Linked DNA regions of Arabidopsis thaliana. The protein of the gene in region 1 purifies or fractionates together with the protein of each later gene. This does not show direct contact. Each region holds a gene or a part of one and is shown in the gene's direction. Other genes may lie near its edges.

Region 1 (9,624 bases):
AGTCGGTAAGAGTGTTGATCTGTGGAATTATATGTATTCATAAAAATTTTCCGTCAAATACTTAATTAGTTTTCGCTGATGTTTAAACAGAACAAAGTCGAAGGGATGATTTGGAATCACTTGGTTATGTTCTTATGTATTTTCTCAAAGGAAGGTTAGCGTCTACAGCTTCTCTACCTGAGTCTGTAAAATTCTGTATATTTTCTTGAACAGAGTTTAAACCATATGTTTTTTTGGGCTATCAGCTTACCTTGGCAGGGATTAAAAGCTGGGACAAAGAAGCAGAAGTATGACAGAATCAGCGAGAAAAAAGTGTCAACTCCTATAGAGGTTAGGTTACAACAACTTGACAAACCGAAAGGATTTTCATTTTGGCATTGGTAGGTAATCTAGCTTTTCTAACTGAGCTTGGAATGTTTCGATGTAGGTATTGTGTAAAAACCAACCGTCCGAGTTCGTTTCATACTTTCATTACTGCCGATCTTTACGGTTTGATGACAAACCTGATTACTCTTACCTCAAGAGGCTTTTCCGTGACTTGTTTATCCGAGAAGGTTCTTATCTTAACATCATTATTCCGAGAAATTTTATTCGCTTACTGTTTCAAGCCACTCTCATCTTATCTTTTTCATATTGTTGAAACTCTTACAGGTTATCAATTCGATTATGTATTTGACTGGACAGTCTTAAAGTATCCTCAAATCGGATCCAGCTCTGGTTCTAGTTCACGAACAAGGGTGATTATTAAAAATCTTATACTTGTGTTTTTACCCTCATGGTTTTTGAGTTTCTCTGTACTTACGTAAATGTAAATCTTTGGATTTTCCAGCATCATACAACAGCGAAACCCGGATTCAACGCAGATCCTATTGAAAGACAAGAGAGGATCCTAGGTAAAATTCTGCTTTTCCTACTTCTATTAAAAATCTCAAAACCATACACATCCATTCCTCACTCTAATTTCTACTCTTTTTTTATTTACCATTCGTGTAGGAAAGGAAACAACCCGATATAAAATCCCAGGTGCAGTGGAGGCATTCTCCAGAAGACACCCGACTACAACTTCTTCGCCTCGAGATCGTTCTAGATCAAGAAACTCAGACGACGGACCTTTCTCTAAGCAGACAGTAAAAATCTTACTCTTTACATACATTGTTGATCAGAACCGCTAAATAAGACAAAGACCTAACTGTGTTTGTTTTATTTGTGCAGCATGGAGACTCCGAAAGAGCAAACAGTTCCTCAAGATATAGAGCATCTTCTTCTAGGAAAGCCGTTGCTGCTTCAAGCTCCCGGCCAAGTTCTGCAGGTGGACCAAGCGAAAGCCGAACTTCAAGTCGTCTGGTTTCCTCAAGCGGTGGTGGTGGCAGCGGCAGTGGAAATGGCCGTCCCTCAACTAGCCAGAGAGTGCAAGCTGGATATGAATCCAAGACTCTGTCTTTCTCTCGTGCAACAGCGGCAAGAAACACTCGGGAAGATCAATTAAGAAGCTTCGAGCTTCTCTCTCTTCGGAAATAAAGGAAAATGATGGAGAGAGAGACAGCAAACTCCATGAAAACCCAAAGAAATTACCTCTGAAGAAAGATGAGAATCTTGGTTTGAGGGAATTCATATATTTGAACCTGATGAAATCCTCAGATCTTTTTACATGTAATTTCAGCTTCAGCTTGCAGAGATCTTTTTCACTCGTTTTGTTTATGTAATCGTGATATGTGTTAGACAAACATAACAATCAAAAATGTAGAGAGAGTTTCCATGTAAAAACGGTAAAATTTCTATCCGTATATTCGATTACTTCGAACCTATCTGTACTGGTACTGTAATAAACAAAACAATCAACTGCTCTTTGGTCTCTTTTAATGCTTCTGTTTTTTTGGGGCAGGCATACTCTGGTCAAATCATGTAAAAACGGTGAAATTTTGGCTTAATAGTAAAATTAGCTCATCTACTTAGTCAAATCATACTTTAGATGACTCCAATCTAAAACTCTTTATTTTTATTTTTTCCATACTTCAAATGTTTACTTATTCACTGATCGTATACTTGAATGGTTATAGTTAAACTCTTCACATTTTGTTAGCGCTCATCTTCGAATAAAGTGGCAAAACTGAATTTCATATTGAAGTTACACATATAAAATACATTCATTTTTAGATTCATATGATCTACTCCTACATACTTTTGCATTTCGACTAAAAAAGCAAGTGCTCCAATACAATTTTTGAGAAATGACAAATATTCATCATCATTCTTCAAAACTAGGTTTACACATGTGAAGTCACATTTTTATGACTTTAATGAATCAGTTGCAATCTTGATGATAACAGTCGAAACGTCATGAAGTTTAACAACCAAACAAACAATTTGATCGCTAATTTCTGCGATTTATTAATTGACTCGAGACTCAAATAAACATGATCGCAAAAACGGATAAAGAACGCTGGATTTGGTTGACTTTTTGGTCAACGTTGAGGACTAAAAGTGGAAAACAAAAATACCACCACCACCGCTAGTACTACTGCGTCTGAGACTGAGAGAGAGTATTAAAATCAAAATTAAATACTTTTTCCTTTTTAATTCATTTTCTCATCAATAACACAATCTCCCTGGAAAAATTCTCTACGACTTCCTCTCGTCGTCGAGCTTGTTATTGATCGGAGAGAGAGATCAGTGTTCTTTGGATCTTCCAATTTCTTCCACGTTTGTGCTTGAATTGCAGAAGAAGTTTTGTATAGGACTCTGTTTTGCTTGTTGATAGAATTTGGGAATCTAGGGTTTATCGAATCGTTTATTTTGGTTTTCGTTTAGTTTCTCTTCTTCGAGCTGGTGTTTCTCAACTAGTTAGAGAGTTTCTCGATTGGTCAGAGCTGCTTTTATTGAATTTTCTTTGGATTTCGTGCTTATAGATCTTTGAAAAGTCTGAGAATCCTGTTTTGGAGTTACTGCTTCAAGTTATTGGAAGAAATTAGGGTTTCGATCCAATTTTAGAATTGACTCAAGGAATTCCGATATTGGGGTTTTGTTGTAGTTCTGATTCTCAGTGAATAAGATAGAAGATAATCATGGAAATCGATGGTGGAAACGATGTTCAGATTTTGGATCCTGAGCTCTTGCAGCTTCCCGGTTTGTCTCCTGTATCACTTAAAGAAAATCCTCATATTGCTGAAGAACTCTTCTCCCAGTGGCTTTCACTTCCTGAAACTGGCCGATTGGTAATTTTATTCCCAAGCCTCTGGCTCAGTGGCTCCTTAGCGTCGTTTGGTTTCTTGTTCATTTAATAGTTGGCGCCTGTTTTATGTATATGCTGATACCTGTTCGTAAGTCCTTGTTGTGACTTTATCTGATTTCAAGTCAATTTCTGCAGAGCAAGATTCAACATGCTTATTGCTCTTACTGAATCCTCGGCTGTTGCATATTTAGTAGTTTTGTTTATTTCTTATAGATTTTACTTAGTGTTAGATAAAGAGTGCTTGAATAGCACATTTAGGGGTTATAATGACTTAGGTGATAATAGTACTGGGATATTACAAGGCTCTGCTAAACTTGAGAAGTGTTTGTATTTGTGTAGTACCAGATTTAACTTAAAGCTCCTGAGAATATGGTCCAGTGTTGTATGCCGATTGCCGACTCATGTTGGTGAAGAAACTTTTGGTGGTTGTTTTTCGTTTAAGGTTTTACGTGGTCCTCTTTTAACAGTTCATCTGTGTGATGTTTGTGCAGGTCAAGTCTTTAATTGATGATACTAAATCTAGTACCCCAGTCAGTGTATCCAAAAATTGTACTAGTCTCAATGTTGCTTGCGGGAGTGCATTGCCATCTGTTTTTCTGAACAGCGGCACTCCCCCACTATCCCCACGAGGCTCACCTGGGTCTCCCCGTTTCTCGAGGCAAAAGACAAGCCCTTCTCTACAGTCTCCTCTGAAATCAGTCAGGGAACCAAAGCGCCAACTCATTCCACAGGTTCGATTTTTTATCCAACTGCTCCTCATATGGATGTCTTACAAACAACATGAGAAGGCACTACCTTGCTTGACAGTTGACATCATGATTTGATTGTTTTATATATGCTCACGTAATTGTTGAAACTAGACTGTAATAGTTTTCTAAGTAGATGGAGAACCACGAGAACAAATACAATAGAAACTAAATTCTTCGTTCAAGTAGCATAGGTACAATTTTTTTTTTAACAAAACGATGACAACAAGTAAGTTTATTATGGTCATCCGTTTGACATCTTACATAGTTGAAGGGTTTAGCTAATATTGTTCAACATTCTTGTTTGACGCTTCTATGCCTTGATATGCTATGCAGTTTTACTTCCAACATGGACGTCCACCTGCGAAGGAACTAAGGGAGCAATGTATATCCATGGTTGATCAATTTTTTAGTAACTATATAGACGGACTTCATATGGATGGTGATGTTTAAATACAAGCTTTTTTACATCACAGTCCCGTTCTGTAATGAATAGACAAACAGTTGATCTTACAAACACATTCTTGCTATTGTTCAATTGCAGAATTCAAATCCATTACTAAAGAAGTCTGCAAGCTGCCTTCTTTTCTTTCCTCTGTACTATTTAGAAAGATAGACACGAGTGGCACCGGTATCGTTACAAGGTAAATCATTGTGTTCTTTCTTTTCATATGTAATTGTAGTTAAATGTATATATCCACTGGTATTCATATGTGTTTCATGTAATATAATAATAGATCACATTGGTCTGGATTTCCAGATGCACGCTCAGCTATTTGTTTCATAAATTGCTCACCCTTAAAAGAAATGGAATGTGGCATAGTAATTTTAATACCTGATTGTTATCTTTTTATTTATTTATGCCACTCGAATATAATTTCTTTTTACTTTCAATAAATTTAGTGTGCTCGATTTTATATATTGTTTAGAACATTTGTGATAAGTAATATTGAAGTTTCTACCCTGTAGATATTGTTTGGAATTGATACATCTTTAAATTAGCCAAATCATGAGTAATATCATAGAAATATACAGCAGCTGTAATCTTTCTGTTTAGCTAGTATCTTTTAAATACACCATATTTGGTTCCTGCAGGGATGCATTTATCAAGTATTGGGTTGATGGACATATGTTGGCAATGGACGTAGCCTCACAGATATATAATATTTTAAGGCAGCCAGGTTGCAAGTACCTTAGACAGGTCTCTTTGTTTTCTTTTCCCAGCTCTTCACTGCTGTTTTGATTTGTTTACCAATGATTATTGTCTCACTTGATTTCTTTAGTCCTGAAGGCTAATGTCTTCTTTTGGATTTGGGATAGGCTGACTTCAAACCAGTTCTTGATGAGCTTCTGACAACTCATCCCGGCTTGGAATTCCTGAGGAATACACCTGAGTTTCAAGAAAGATATGGTAAGAACTTGGTTTTTGATACATTGATGTTATGGTGTGAAATAGTTCTACCAGAATGTCTGTTTTCTACTAAGACGTTCGTACAATTTCTTTCCATATATATATGATCTTTCAAAACGCATTGACGAACTTGAAAGTGACATCTTTAGCTGGCTTGATTGGCCTAGGCAATAATTCTTCTAATTTTAATTCTATGTACTTGTTCATTATAATTACATTTTGAAAATTATGAGATGCTTCTTAAATATAGTATATTTTCAGGTGCTTACTGTTTTATACATCTATTGACTAATTCATAATTTTTCCCGTGCTTGTTTCATTCATCTCTGTGTTCTATTCCGTCAACCCAGCTGAGACCGTCATCTACAGAATATTTTACTACATAAACAGATCAGGTACTGGTTGCATTACTCTTAGAGAGCTGAAGCGTGGGAATCTTATTACTGCCATGCAACAAGTTGATGAAGAAGACGACATCAATAAAGTTATTAGGTGACTTTGTTTTCCTTTTCATTATTTCTTAAACAATACGTTAAAAAGATTAAGATTTTAGTTTTATTTGTATAATAAAGACCACTTTAAGTTGTTTAAGAATTCAAGCTCAGCAAGGTGTGTAGCATTGTGAGTAATATGGGTAGTGCATAGGTCTTCGAATTGTTTCTTAGACATAAGCACTACCCATAAAACTCATAAAGAGGAAGAAGTGTATTGGTAGTTCATATTGTGATACTGTGGCAAGACATCATGCATGATTTGACCATTCAATATGACCTTTTCTTTACTTTTCAGGTACTTCTCCTATGAGCATTTCTACGTGATATACTGCAGATTTTGGGAACTCGATGGCGACCATGATTTCCTTATTGATAAGGAAAATCTCATCAAATATGGTAATCATGCCCTTACCTACAGGATTGTCGACAGAATATTTTCACAGGTTGGCTCCAGTTGTCAAAATGTTAATGAACACTTTTCTCGAAACTTAATTGTTATCTTATGGAGTGTGTTTCCTTCTTTCTTAATTGAAATTACGGCTGTCTCTCACTCAGGTTCCTAGGAAATTTACAAGCAAAGTTGAGGGGAAGATGAGTTATGAAGATTTTGCATACTTTATTCTCGCTGAGGAGGATAAGTCATCTGAGCCTAGTCTTGAGTATTGGTACATGTCTCTTCCCCTCTTCTCTTTTTGTCTTTAGTGACTTCTCTTTAGCCATTTTGTCCTTTAGCTGCTTAGCTCACAGTATGTCACTATAAATGTATAACTTCTGAGCCAAAACTTGTGGCATATGTGGCCTTCTTGATGATACAAGCCTACCTGATATTTTGAACGCACTAAACATTTAGTAGTACTATTATTTCATGAACATAGGATACCCATCTTGAATCTAAGACATTTTCATTCATCATCTCATGAACCTAGAACATTTTCATTCATCATCTCATGAATCTAGAACATTTTCAGTTGAACCGCTGATATGAGGGCATACCTCGCTGGTATGCTCATCTATCTCCCATCGATGTTAAACACAGGTTCTTGGCAGTTTTTTGTTTTTCGTTTTCCCTTGATATTGATTAAAACCATCTTTGCAGGTTCAAGTGCATAGACCTAGATGGAGATGGGGTGATCACTCCCAACGAGATGCAGTTTTTCTACGAAGAGCAGCTGCATCGCATGGAATGTATAACCCAGGAACCTGTACTCTTTGAAGATATCCTATGTCAAATATTCGACATGATTAAACCAGAGGCAAAATTTCTTTTAAACCATAACATGGTCTTTTGATATTCCTGGCTTGTCTGTTCCTTTGCTCTTATTCGCATCATCAATTTGTCGAATGACTCTTTCAGAAGGAGAACTGCATCACACTCCAGGATCTGAAAGCATCCAAACTTTCTGGAAATATTTTCAATATACTCTTTAACCTGAACAAATTCATGGCGTTTGAAACCCGTGACCCTTTTCTCATTCGTCAGGTAAACATAGGTTTTCTATAGAGTTTTCCTCCCTTTGGTTATTCAATCCTTCGTTTAGCTGTTGAAACTGTTACTACTGAATATTTATTAATGCCATAAAAATTCGCAAAAATTATTATAAGTTCAGATAGTCACCTACTACTGCAGCCGGTTGTATCTGTTCCAGTCTCTGCTACTTCTAAACCAACTTTGTTTTCCATTTGACAGGAACGTGAGAATCCAACATTGACGGAATGGGACCGATTTGCTCAGAGAGAGTATGTGAGGTTGTCAATGGAGGAAGATGTGGAGGAAGTCTCGAATGGGAGTGCAGATGTTTGGGATGAACCACTCGAATCTCCATTTTAGTGACTCGTAAGAGGTACTTTGTTCAACACTGGTCAGCATCATGTTCCTTATGCATGTATGAAATAGCAAAATTGATGTGCTCAATGTTACAAGTTTGTATCTTTTGGTATATTAAACGTATTAAAAGCCGTTTTCGTTGCTTTTTTTACTAGTTTCTTGGGAAGAAGAGGGAGAAGTCAGATCTTCTTGGGTGGTAAGAGCCTCGGAAACAATTTTCAGACAGACAACCACGAAAGCCAGTCCATTCCACGGTTCCACCTAGAGATTGGCGACCAAGAGACTTATCCGATGCGTAAGCTTGTGTTAGTTTCATGAAATATTTGTCTTGCTTAGGTTTCTCAGGTTGGACCCTCTTTCAATCTTATGTATATTATTATATACGCCGCTTTATAGTGTTTTGTGGAACCAACAACAACGGTTTTATTTAAAATCGAAAGAACTATGTACAAAGACACTTTTTTTTGTGGGAAGAAATTTACAAACCTTGAAACTTGTTTTACATGATCATTGTTTTTGCTTTTTCCTCATTAGCAAATTTGTGCCTATGATATCAACTACAATTCTCGTATAAACTATAGAATATCAAATCAAATTATATACTATATATCAGTTTTTGATTGGTTTGAGCCGACATTGGTTATTTGTTTGTATAAGAATCATTAAAACTTTGTTTGTCAATATGATATTTTGGAAGATGTGTTAAAAAGTCGTGCATTTTGTTTTAACAAGCATGAACTCACTTTCTATGGCGGTTAAAAATAAGGGAATTTGACACGTTTAGACATTTTTAAAGAATTTTATTCTTTTTGAGGCACTTGTCACGGATGAAGCACTTTTCCAACTTTTTCATTAAACTTTTGACCAATTTATCTCTGAAAATTAAGAAATTATAATAAAAAAAAAAAGTTTCATCTTTCCACGTTCCTTTTTTTTTCTTCTTCTTCGTCGCTTCTTCTTTTCACTCTCTTTCTCTCTCTTCTCATTATTACTTTTTTTCTTTCCTTGCAAAATCAAACATTTGAGAGTTTGTCAAGATCGTGTAGCTTCTGTATTTTTCTTTACGGAGAAGCCTCTCTAAAGAAAACGGAGAATAAATAGTAAGGGTGTCGTTGCGACCACTTTTACATGAGATGTTGGTATCGTCGGCATCACTAGACTAAACGGCGATCACTTTTATAGTCGTTGCGACTCTTTTCATGAGAATGATGATGTTAGTCTCCAGTGGCGGATCTAGAACCATAATTAACCTGGGGCACAACATAGCTAACATATAAATTTTAAAAATAAAATACAATATAAACATTTTTTAAAAGACATGTAAATGGAAAAAGAAAAAATTGAAGTGTCCTTGTATTAGCATAATTCTTTCAAAGAGTTATAGAAAAAGATAAATTTGGAAAAATAAGTTAAATACTGAAAACATTTATTACTTGAAAATAGTAAAAATAATGAGTAATAACCAACTGATTAGAAAAAAAATCACTATAACATGGGGCACAACAAACGAATTCTTTCATCTCCAATACAAATTGCACATCAAACTTCAAAATTATCAAATCTTGCATGGGGCACGTGCCCCAGTACTCATACACTTGCGTCCGCCCCTGTTAGTCTCTACATACATTACACGCAAGTAAGTTAAAAAAAAATCAGTCGCCGATCGCTGACGTATCGATTACAAAAAGAACAGGGTCATTCCTTTTCAAAAGCCATAGAATTTGATAGCAAAAAACTTAGAGATAAGTTCAAGTAAACTGAGATAAAAGAGTAAAGAAGTACGTGTCCAGAAATCGCTGTCCACAGAGGTTTGTTCATTTAACTCTGTTAAGATGATCTTCTCGATTGGATTTTAAGGTTTTAAAATACAAGTCCAAGTTTGATTTTATATACAGAACATCTCAAGATATAACATAAAT
Region 2 (7,976 bases), on another chromosome or scaffold:
TCTACCGACTAATGTTGGGTAGACATAATTAGTTTACAAAATGTTCTTTTTCCATTTGTCACCAAAGTTTTCTTCATTATTTTATGAAACAAGACTTGGGCAGTTGGACATATATACTATATTAGTAGTTAAATTGCATATGTTTGATCTGTTGATTTGTATATTCAGTTCTTAAACTAAATAACAAGTACTAACTATATTTCAGTATTTGTATATAATCATTTAGTATCGAAACGGTCTCGTGGTCGTGGCACCTTTAATTGCTGAGAGGGCCGTCTTTTACTTTTCGTTCTAGCTTTATGATGTGCCACCGAGTAGTTAAGAGAATGCTTCTGCTCCAAGTATTTTGACATAATTTAATCAAAAGTATTAGCTACTTTACACGGACAATAATCTAATTTTATAATTAGAGTAAGATAGAAATTAAAGAAGATATTGGTAGTCGTTGCAAATGACACGTGTTGATCATGCTTTGCTCGCATTTGTATAGCTTCGACTTGAAGGATTTCAGTCCACCGTACGTTTACCACGATCGAGTCACCCACTACGGTCATAACTAATACTATAATTTGATAAGTGTAATAAGAAGACAAATGATAAAAAAAAAAGAAGAAGACAAATTTGCTAAGATGACAGTTTGTAATCCATATCTTATCACATCTACAAGAGAGATATATACAACTCTTTTTCTTAAGAGATGATTAATGCGTTAAACAAGTTTAACCAGTTATCAAAAATATGTAAATCTTTTCTCCAGAGGTTTAAAGACAACGTCACGGTAATTGTTTCGTCGAAAAATGACTATTTTAAACTGTACGGTTCATGGTCACTTTTTGTGTATTTACATAAAGAAAAAATATTAAATTTTATACTCAGAATTAGGTATGGGCACGAAGCGGATATCCGGAAAAATTATGATATTTGTTATTCGATTCGTTTTAAACGAATACTTGATTTTGTGATTCGCTTTACTTCGAAAATTTCCAGATATCCGGAATTTCGAATATCCGGAATTTTTTGTGATATTTGCGGATATCCGCTTTGATACATTTAAATATTAAAAAAATATGTATACTATATAACTATATCATATATTCAAAAAATTTATCCGTGCGTTCCTTAATTGGTGTCTCCGTGTGCTTTTAAAATAAGTTCTAAATACCAAACATAACCGTTGTTGGTATCACCGGTCAACAAAATATTATCAAACTAATTCCAAAACTAAAACCCGATAGTTTTTTGATGCCATTGATCAAAACATAACATAAAAAAAAATGATCAAACAAACATCTTAACATAAAAACATAAAATGACAACAATACACAAACTATTTATGATATCTATATATAGATATACTATATTTTCTAATATATATAAAAAGATACGGATCGAAGCGGATATTCGATTTTTTAAAAAACAATATTTATTATTTGATTCGATTTTTACGAATACTATATTTTTCTATTTGCTTTGCTCCAAAATCTTACGAATATTCGGATTTTTCGAATCAAATTAAATCAAATACCGAATCGAAACGGATCAAATCAAATCAAATCAGAATATTGAGCTAGCTGAATGAATGAGATAACCTAAGAATCCAAAAGTTGATAGTGTTCCCTTTCCGAATTCCAATAGTAGCTTGATAACATTTATTTAACGGCGATAAATTCAACCGTTAGTTTGATTACCAATCAAATAATTGCTTGCAATAGACGGATGAAACGAGTGGTAAGAATAGGTGATTGAAACAAACGGTTAAAAGCTTAAACAAAATAGGTGAGTTTGCAACCTCTCTTGTTCACCATTGGAATATTTTAGTTATTTAACGTTTCTTAGATTTTTAAAACTGTAATGTATTTGAATTATTTACTAAAGAGTTTTGTTTTTCTTTGTTTTTTAAATATTTTTAGTTATTTATTAAATATTTTAATTTAGTTTTTTTTTTTTACTGTTTAACCGTTTGTTACTAATCATAACTATTATTTAACGGTTCATTTTAAATTATTTATCATTTTTTCTTTTAATATATTTTCTAACCGTTTTTTTTTATCAGTCTTTTTTGTAAGTGTTAAATAAAATAACCGCCTTATTTAAACGATATTACCAATTGGTTTAATTTTAGGTTGTTCATCTTTTCTAACCGTTTTTTTCTACCCGCCTTTTTCTGTAACTGCTAAAAAACATAACCGTCTCATTTAAACGATGTTTACCCATTGCAAACCATTTTCCTTAAACAAGCGGACAATATTTAAATTGCAATGAAAGCGAGTTATGAGTTCTTTTGGCCTAAACTTCCCAATTTTATCTCTCTTTTTCCCACTAATCTTCTAACAATTTTAATTAACAGTGACAACTTACAAGTACTTAGGTAACCAAGTATATTTCCCTATTGTAAAACCTAATTATGAGTTGTGATGATCACCTTTTCTCCTTTTGACGAACGCTTAGGACCTAACTTATTGCAACAATGGCCTAACTAAAACTTAAATGCGATTTGCATTCAATTCTCAAATGGGCCTCTTTAGTTAACATGTTATCTCCGTTCATCTGACGTGTCATAGCTCAGATCAAAGGTTAATCTACTCGTAAATCCAACGACCAAAGAAACGAAGCGTACGTTACTAACATACACGTGCACGCACTGTAACCATCTCTCTCTCTGCTCTTCTCCTTCAATGAAATGATTCGTCACCCAAAGAAAGATCTGCAACTTCACCACCGGACCAGTCTCTCTCTATCTCTTCTGTCTCTCTACCTCGCGCGACGAATCAATCATGACTGAAGAACAAGACCTCATCGACCAATCACCACCACCTTCAGCACCCGACCCTGAACCAAACTCGAGCACGAATCCGAATTCAGTAATCCATCCAAGGCGTGTGTCTTTCGAGCACGGACTCCTCCCGATCCAGAAACTCGTTTTCACCGACCCGATCCAAACCTTAGCCCCTGTCAAGCAGAAGCTAGCCGATGCGGCTTCGAATAACCGCGTTGGATCGGCTGCAATCGCCGACGTTCTCCAGATCTCCGGCGACCATGCGCGTCTCGTTCTCGAGACTCTCGGTTCGGTGCTTCATTCCGAGTCTGACCCTCTGGTTCGGGCGAAACCTGAGGAAGTTGATTCCGTCGGAGCTGATTTGCGGGATCTTATTTTGTTCCTGTACATTCAATCGTATAAGAAGTTGCTTCCTAGGACGCATAAGGACTCCGCAGCGGTGGCTGATGTTTGGCCATCGACTTCAGCTTTTGATGGATACTTGTCTGCGTTATCGCCAATTCAGGCAAGTTTCTTACTTTTTTTGGCCCTCTTATTATAATGTGCCTCAATCCCAGCGCCTGCGATTTGTTTGGTATTGAAATGGAACTGTTGTACTCGAGTATGGAATTGGAACGTGGTAGAGAATAACTTATTTCCATTTCGCATTGTATTTAACTAAAATTTGCAATGCAAGTTTAAGTTTTCTGAGTCATTTGATTTACCTGAAACTTAGAGTTAAGCAATGTCGGAAATTTGGGTGATTAATTGAATTGATGGTGGCTATAGTTTCGTAACAATTCTCAATGAGGAAGATGCTTACTTGTATTTAATTGCCAGTCCCCTTTCTCTGATGACTCTGGGGCAATGGTAATTGGTTAGTTTACTAACTAAAGTCAAACAGTCGCCAGCTTGCTTTGTTTTGTGGTTCGGAATCTGATTCTTTTTCCGTTGTACCTTATTTTGTTTGGTCCTTTCACGTGGTTTATTTGGTGATAATGCTTGGTGTGTTCTTGAATTTTGACTCGGGTCTCCAGTCCTGTAATATTCTGTTTCCTGTGTGGTATGGATGTTCTATTGAGTCTTTTAGAAAACAGTCATATAATCTTAAGCTTTTCAGTGTTTTCTACAGTCACTGTTCTTTGGTATTCTATCGTTTCTCATCACATGGGTCGAACCAACTTTATTGGAGCTAAAATTGTTATTTATATCTCCTTTTCATCATTTCTGCAGCTTGTTCGCAGCAACAGCCGTCGATTTATGCCATCACAGGCAGATGATGAAGCTCATCAGTTGTCATATCTGCAAAAACATTTAGCAAACATCATTTCTCTCCTTGCAGAGCCTGTGGAGGGAGAAGGAGATGAATCATTGGTAAGTTCTAATCTTTCTTATATTCTCAGGGGGTGTCACTGTTCTAAGCTACAAGAATATAAAATTCTGATGTTGGAATAAGAATTTTTTAGGAAATGAAAGAGAACACAAGTTAATTTTTTTTTTCTTGTCCAATATCGTTCAGGTTTTCTCTATGGAGGCGTTCGAGCATCTGCGTTTTCTTGTTCAGTTTGGTGATAAGGGATCTGATGTATCTCCATTGAGCCAAGCTACTCCTTTTTTTGCAAATTCTGATCCGGATATGCCCGCTGTTCCAGTCCCCGCTTCCCAAGTGCATGACTGGCTTCTGCAAAACATAGCTTCCGCTTTAGAAAGCATTACTGAGAGAATTTCTGGAAAAGAGAACGGACCTTCTAACGATCAAGATGATGCGATGTCAGATGTTTGTGCTGCTCCGAACAAGGTTGCACCTAGTACTAGAGGCCCGTGTTTAATCGAGGGAGTCTCCAAGACTTCACTTGTTAAGCAAGCCTCCGATCTAAGGGGTAGATCTGTGAAGGTCTGACTGTTCCTTGTTCCGTTTTTCTTCCAGTCATGGAATCTCTGTGCAAGCATGTCAACTCCTTGTTTTGTGTATTTTTCAGGTTGTCAATTGCCATGATTCTGTAATTTATCTTTTAGCACCATTGCGATATGCAACTGTGCACGGATGTTCTGATACTACTATAGTTTTGGGAGCTGTTGGCAAGGTATGGAAACAATGCTTCTTCCTTCTTTATCTTTTCTGAAGATAGTCAAAGCAACATTTAACAAGTTATAATATCTGCCAACTTTTATTAAAAGATGTATCAAACATAATTCCGTATTTATTTCTGCAGGCAATAAAAGTTGAGCACTGTGAAAGAGTTCATGTGATTGTAGCTGCCAAACGAGTGTGCATTGCCAATTGTCGTGAATGTGTATTCTTCTTGGGAGTCAATCAGCGGCCACTTATTGTTGGTGATAACCACAAACTGCAGGTGAAGCTTCTCTTTAAGATTGTGGTTTAATTTACAAGTTTTATGTCATGTTGCTCTTATTTACCTTTCTGATATTAAGGTAAAAAAAATTGAGTGGCTAGACTTTTTACTAGATTTAGTTTGGTTAGTTTGGTTAATAAGCCGTTTCGGACACGTCATCAAGTCTAGTGGAAACAAACTTGGAGGGGTGGCTAGACTGCTGCTAGATACGTTTAGTCAAATGTTTTCCTCAAGAAGGTTTTACTGGTTTTTAAGAGTGCGGGCATTGTCAGATATTGCTTCTAGTGATTATGGGCTTCTATTTTTAAAGTGCTGGCATCAATTTGACTTTGTTTCAGGTCGCTCCATATAATACATTTTACTCTCATTTGGAAGAGCACATGAGGGAGGTAGGGCTTGAGCCAACGATCAACAAATGGGACAAACCATTGGCCCTGGGAGCTGTGGATCCACATGACTCCCTGTCACATCCTGCCGGTGTTGCTGATGCACAGGCTGAATCAGCTGCTTCTGTAGACCCTGACCAGTTCGTAAACTTTTTGGTACATTTTCTATTTGGGTCTAACATTTACGTCAATAATTGGTGAATGCTTTTCAGTGTCATGAAGCATCTAATGACGTGTTTTTCGGTGGTATCAATGACAATGGCACAGATCCCAAACTGGTTTAGCGGCGCGGAGCTTGGTTCGACGAAAGACAATCCATTTCCATTGCCAGATGCTTATATGGCAGCTCAGCAGAGAAACGTATGTTTTAAAGTTATACTTAACCAGATAAACAAATGCATTTGTTATTTTTGTCCATATCTGATCTTGTATCTGCAATTTTTTTTGTCATCAGCTTAAGAACTTTGAAGAAACAAGACGATCGTTAAAAGAGGCGCCTCTAGAAGAAAACCGGAAACGAGAGCTATCAAGTGCACTCCATGTTTATTTCAAAGACTGGCTTTACGGTAAGAAAACTTTCTCTGAATCGATCCCTACTTTACTTTATTGATATGCATCATTCATTAGGTTTTGACTTAGTCTATGTTTTTGTTGCGACAGCATCTGGAAATATAAGGCAACTCTACTGCCTACAAGGTGACTAATAAGAATAATAGACCAAGCGGAAAGTGTCTTGTTCATGTAGAGCTCCTTCGATCATATTTGGCATATTGCTAGTGAAGAAACCCCACCCCAAGACCAAAAGAAAAAAGAAAAAAGAGAAATCAGCCTGATTCAGTGATTTGTAGTTTGGAACCAATACTTCACAACGTAACTTATCTGCACAGAAATACTCTCTTAAAGCTTTCGTTTAGATTATTGTTTTCTTGATTTCTGCTTTTCTTTCCTTGACATTTCAATCCATCGTTTTTGTTCCCTTCTCTATTGAAAATCTCATCTTCAAATAGAGCATGATGACTTGAATTGTTATAAGTTATAACTTGTAAGCAAAACTGTTTTGATAGATAGTCTTGTCTTGGTCAAATAGATTTAAGTGGACGCAAGAGTTAGGCTACTACCATGGTAGGTGCAAATTTCTGAAGAAGTTTTAGAGCTCCAAAATTTCTCATATTTGCAGAATCTCATATTCGTAGAAACATCCAAACAATGCAACATAACATGAACATCTCAAGATACAAAAACAGAAGGACATGGGATGGAACAGAGATATCCATGAGCGCAGGATCCAGCTAATAATGAGTTCTTGCTACTTTAGTCATTGTAATGTGTGCTCCATTGAAGAAATCTCTCTTAGCTCTAAAGTTCTGCACCAACTGTTCAACACCAATGAACACCTCCAATGGCAGCAAAAGTCAGCCCGTGGCTTCCCATCATCTTCAACGTTCTGATGAGTCCTGGAAGAGCAACGTTTCTTTCAATACGAGGGACGTCTTTCCAGTTGCAAAACCAGTCACAGCATCTTTGAATGTCTTCATCATCGCTCCATTTTCCTCTTCCAAGTATCTCATTTCTGTAGGATCCATGATAATTTCTTCAACCGATAAAGCTTAGTCCTTTTTATGTCAAACGTGATCTAACAAAGAAAATTGGCAGCAACGACATAGTGGAGAACACAGCCAAATACTATTATTATTGGGCCTAATTAAAGCCCATTAATGATTCTCTTTTTTTTTTTGTTGTTCTCCCTTCCTCTCAGCGCGAACGCAAGCTCCGTCGGCAATGGCAGAATCGACGAGAAATCTGACTGGGCTTGGAGGAGAAGCAGCGAAAGAAGAAGATGATGAGTACATGGGAGACCTTTCTCAGTTTATTCCTCAGGAACTTAGCCAGACCTCCAAAAGAAAGGTATCTTCAGGCCAAAATTTTCATCTTCTTATGTCCACAATTGTCAAGCTCCTGAATCCAAATTTGTCCAACTGATTTTGAATAATCTCCAACAAATTTCGTTTAGTTTGATAGCTGAATGAGATTTTGGGATTATATTTAAATTCGTATATAAATGCTTTTGCAGGAATCTGAGAAGAAAACTGTAATCGTAGAACCATCACGGAAGAAGTTAAAAAATCTCAATTGGCACGAGAGACGAAGATTGGAGAAAGAGAGGAAACAGATAGAAGAAGATGAGCAGACATTGGCTCGTATAGTAGACACTCCAATAGGAGAGTCTAACATAGGGTTTAAGCTATTGAAGCAAATGGGTTACAAGCCAGGTTCTGCTCTTGGTAAACAAGGCTCTGGTAGAGCTGAGCCAGTGACTATGGATATTCGAAGATCGAGAGCCGGTGTGGGAAGAGAGGATCCACATAAGGAGAAGAAGAAAAAGGAGGAGATTGAGGCTGAGAATGAGAAGAGAAAAGTGGATGAGATGTTGGAGGATTTTGGGTCTAGACAGAAGTCTCAATGGCGTAAGAAAAGAGTTTT

The links. The genes of interacting proteins can lie anywhere in the genome.
Region 2: the proteins of AT5G44090 (region 1) and AT3G57890 fractionate together in Arabidopsis thaliana (co-fractionation; one large-scale study listed by BioGRID). This does not show direct contact.

What each region holds. Positions count from the first base shown.
Region 1 is NC_003076.8:17,741,348-17,750,971, reverse strand, and holds AT5G44090 (Calcium-binding EF-hand family protein), read left to right. Parts: upstream 1-2,446; 5' UTR 2,447-3,062; coding exon of another isoform or gene 3,063-3,212; 5' UTR 3,213-3,377; coding exon 3,378-3,632; intron 3,633-3,720; coding exon 3,721-3,960; intron 3,961-4,311; coding exon 4,312-4,417; intron 4,418-4,519; coding exon 4,520-4,619; intron 4,620-5,070; coding exon 5,071-5,176; intron 5,177-5,295; coding exon 5,296-5,386; intron 5,387-5,736; coding exon 5,737-5,878; intron 5,879-6,175; coding exon 6,176-6,323; intron 6,324-6,435; coding exon 6,436-6,545; intron 6,546-6,976; coding exon 6,977-7,133; intron 7,134-7,234; coding exon 7,235-7,360; intron 7,361-7,567; coding exon 7,568-7,708; 3' UTR 7,709-7,721; intron 7,722-7,860; 3' UTR 7,861-8,206; downstream 8,207-9,624. Other genes in the region: ckl7 (casein kinase I-like 7), read left to right, coding at 1-5, 91-154, 246-330, 428-554, 652-737, 830-893, 994-1,127, 1,213-1,518.
Region 2 is NC_003074.8:21,435,497-21,443,472, forward strand, and holds AT3G57890 (Tubulin binding cofactor C domain-containing protein), read left to right. Parts: upstream 1-2,587; 5' UTR 2,588-2,774; coding exon 2,775-3,281; intron 3,282-3,792; coding exon 3,793-3,900; intron 3,901-3,988; coding exon 3,989-4,129; intron 4,130-4,274; coding exon 4,275-4,649; intron 4,650-4,734; coding exon 4,735-4,839; intron 4,840-4,968; coding exon 4,969-5,109; intron 5,110-5,447; coding exon 5,448-5,651; intron 5,652-5,762; coding exon 5,763-5,855; intron 5,856-5,949; coding exon 5,950-6,061; intron 6,062-6,155; coding exon 6,156-6,199; 3' UTR 6,200-6,392; downstream 6,393-7,976. Other genes in the region: AT3G57900 (import inner membrane translocase subunit Tim17/Tim22/Tim23 family protein), read right to left, coding at 6,785-6,889, 6,977-7,078; AT3G57910 (D111/G-patch domain-containing protein), read left to right, coding at 7,275-7,400, 7,567-7,976.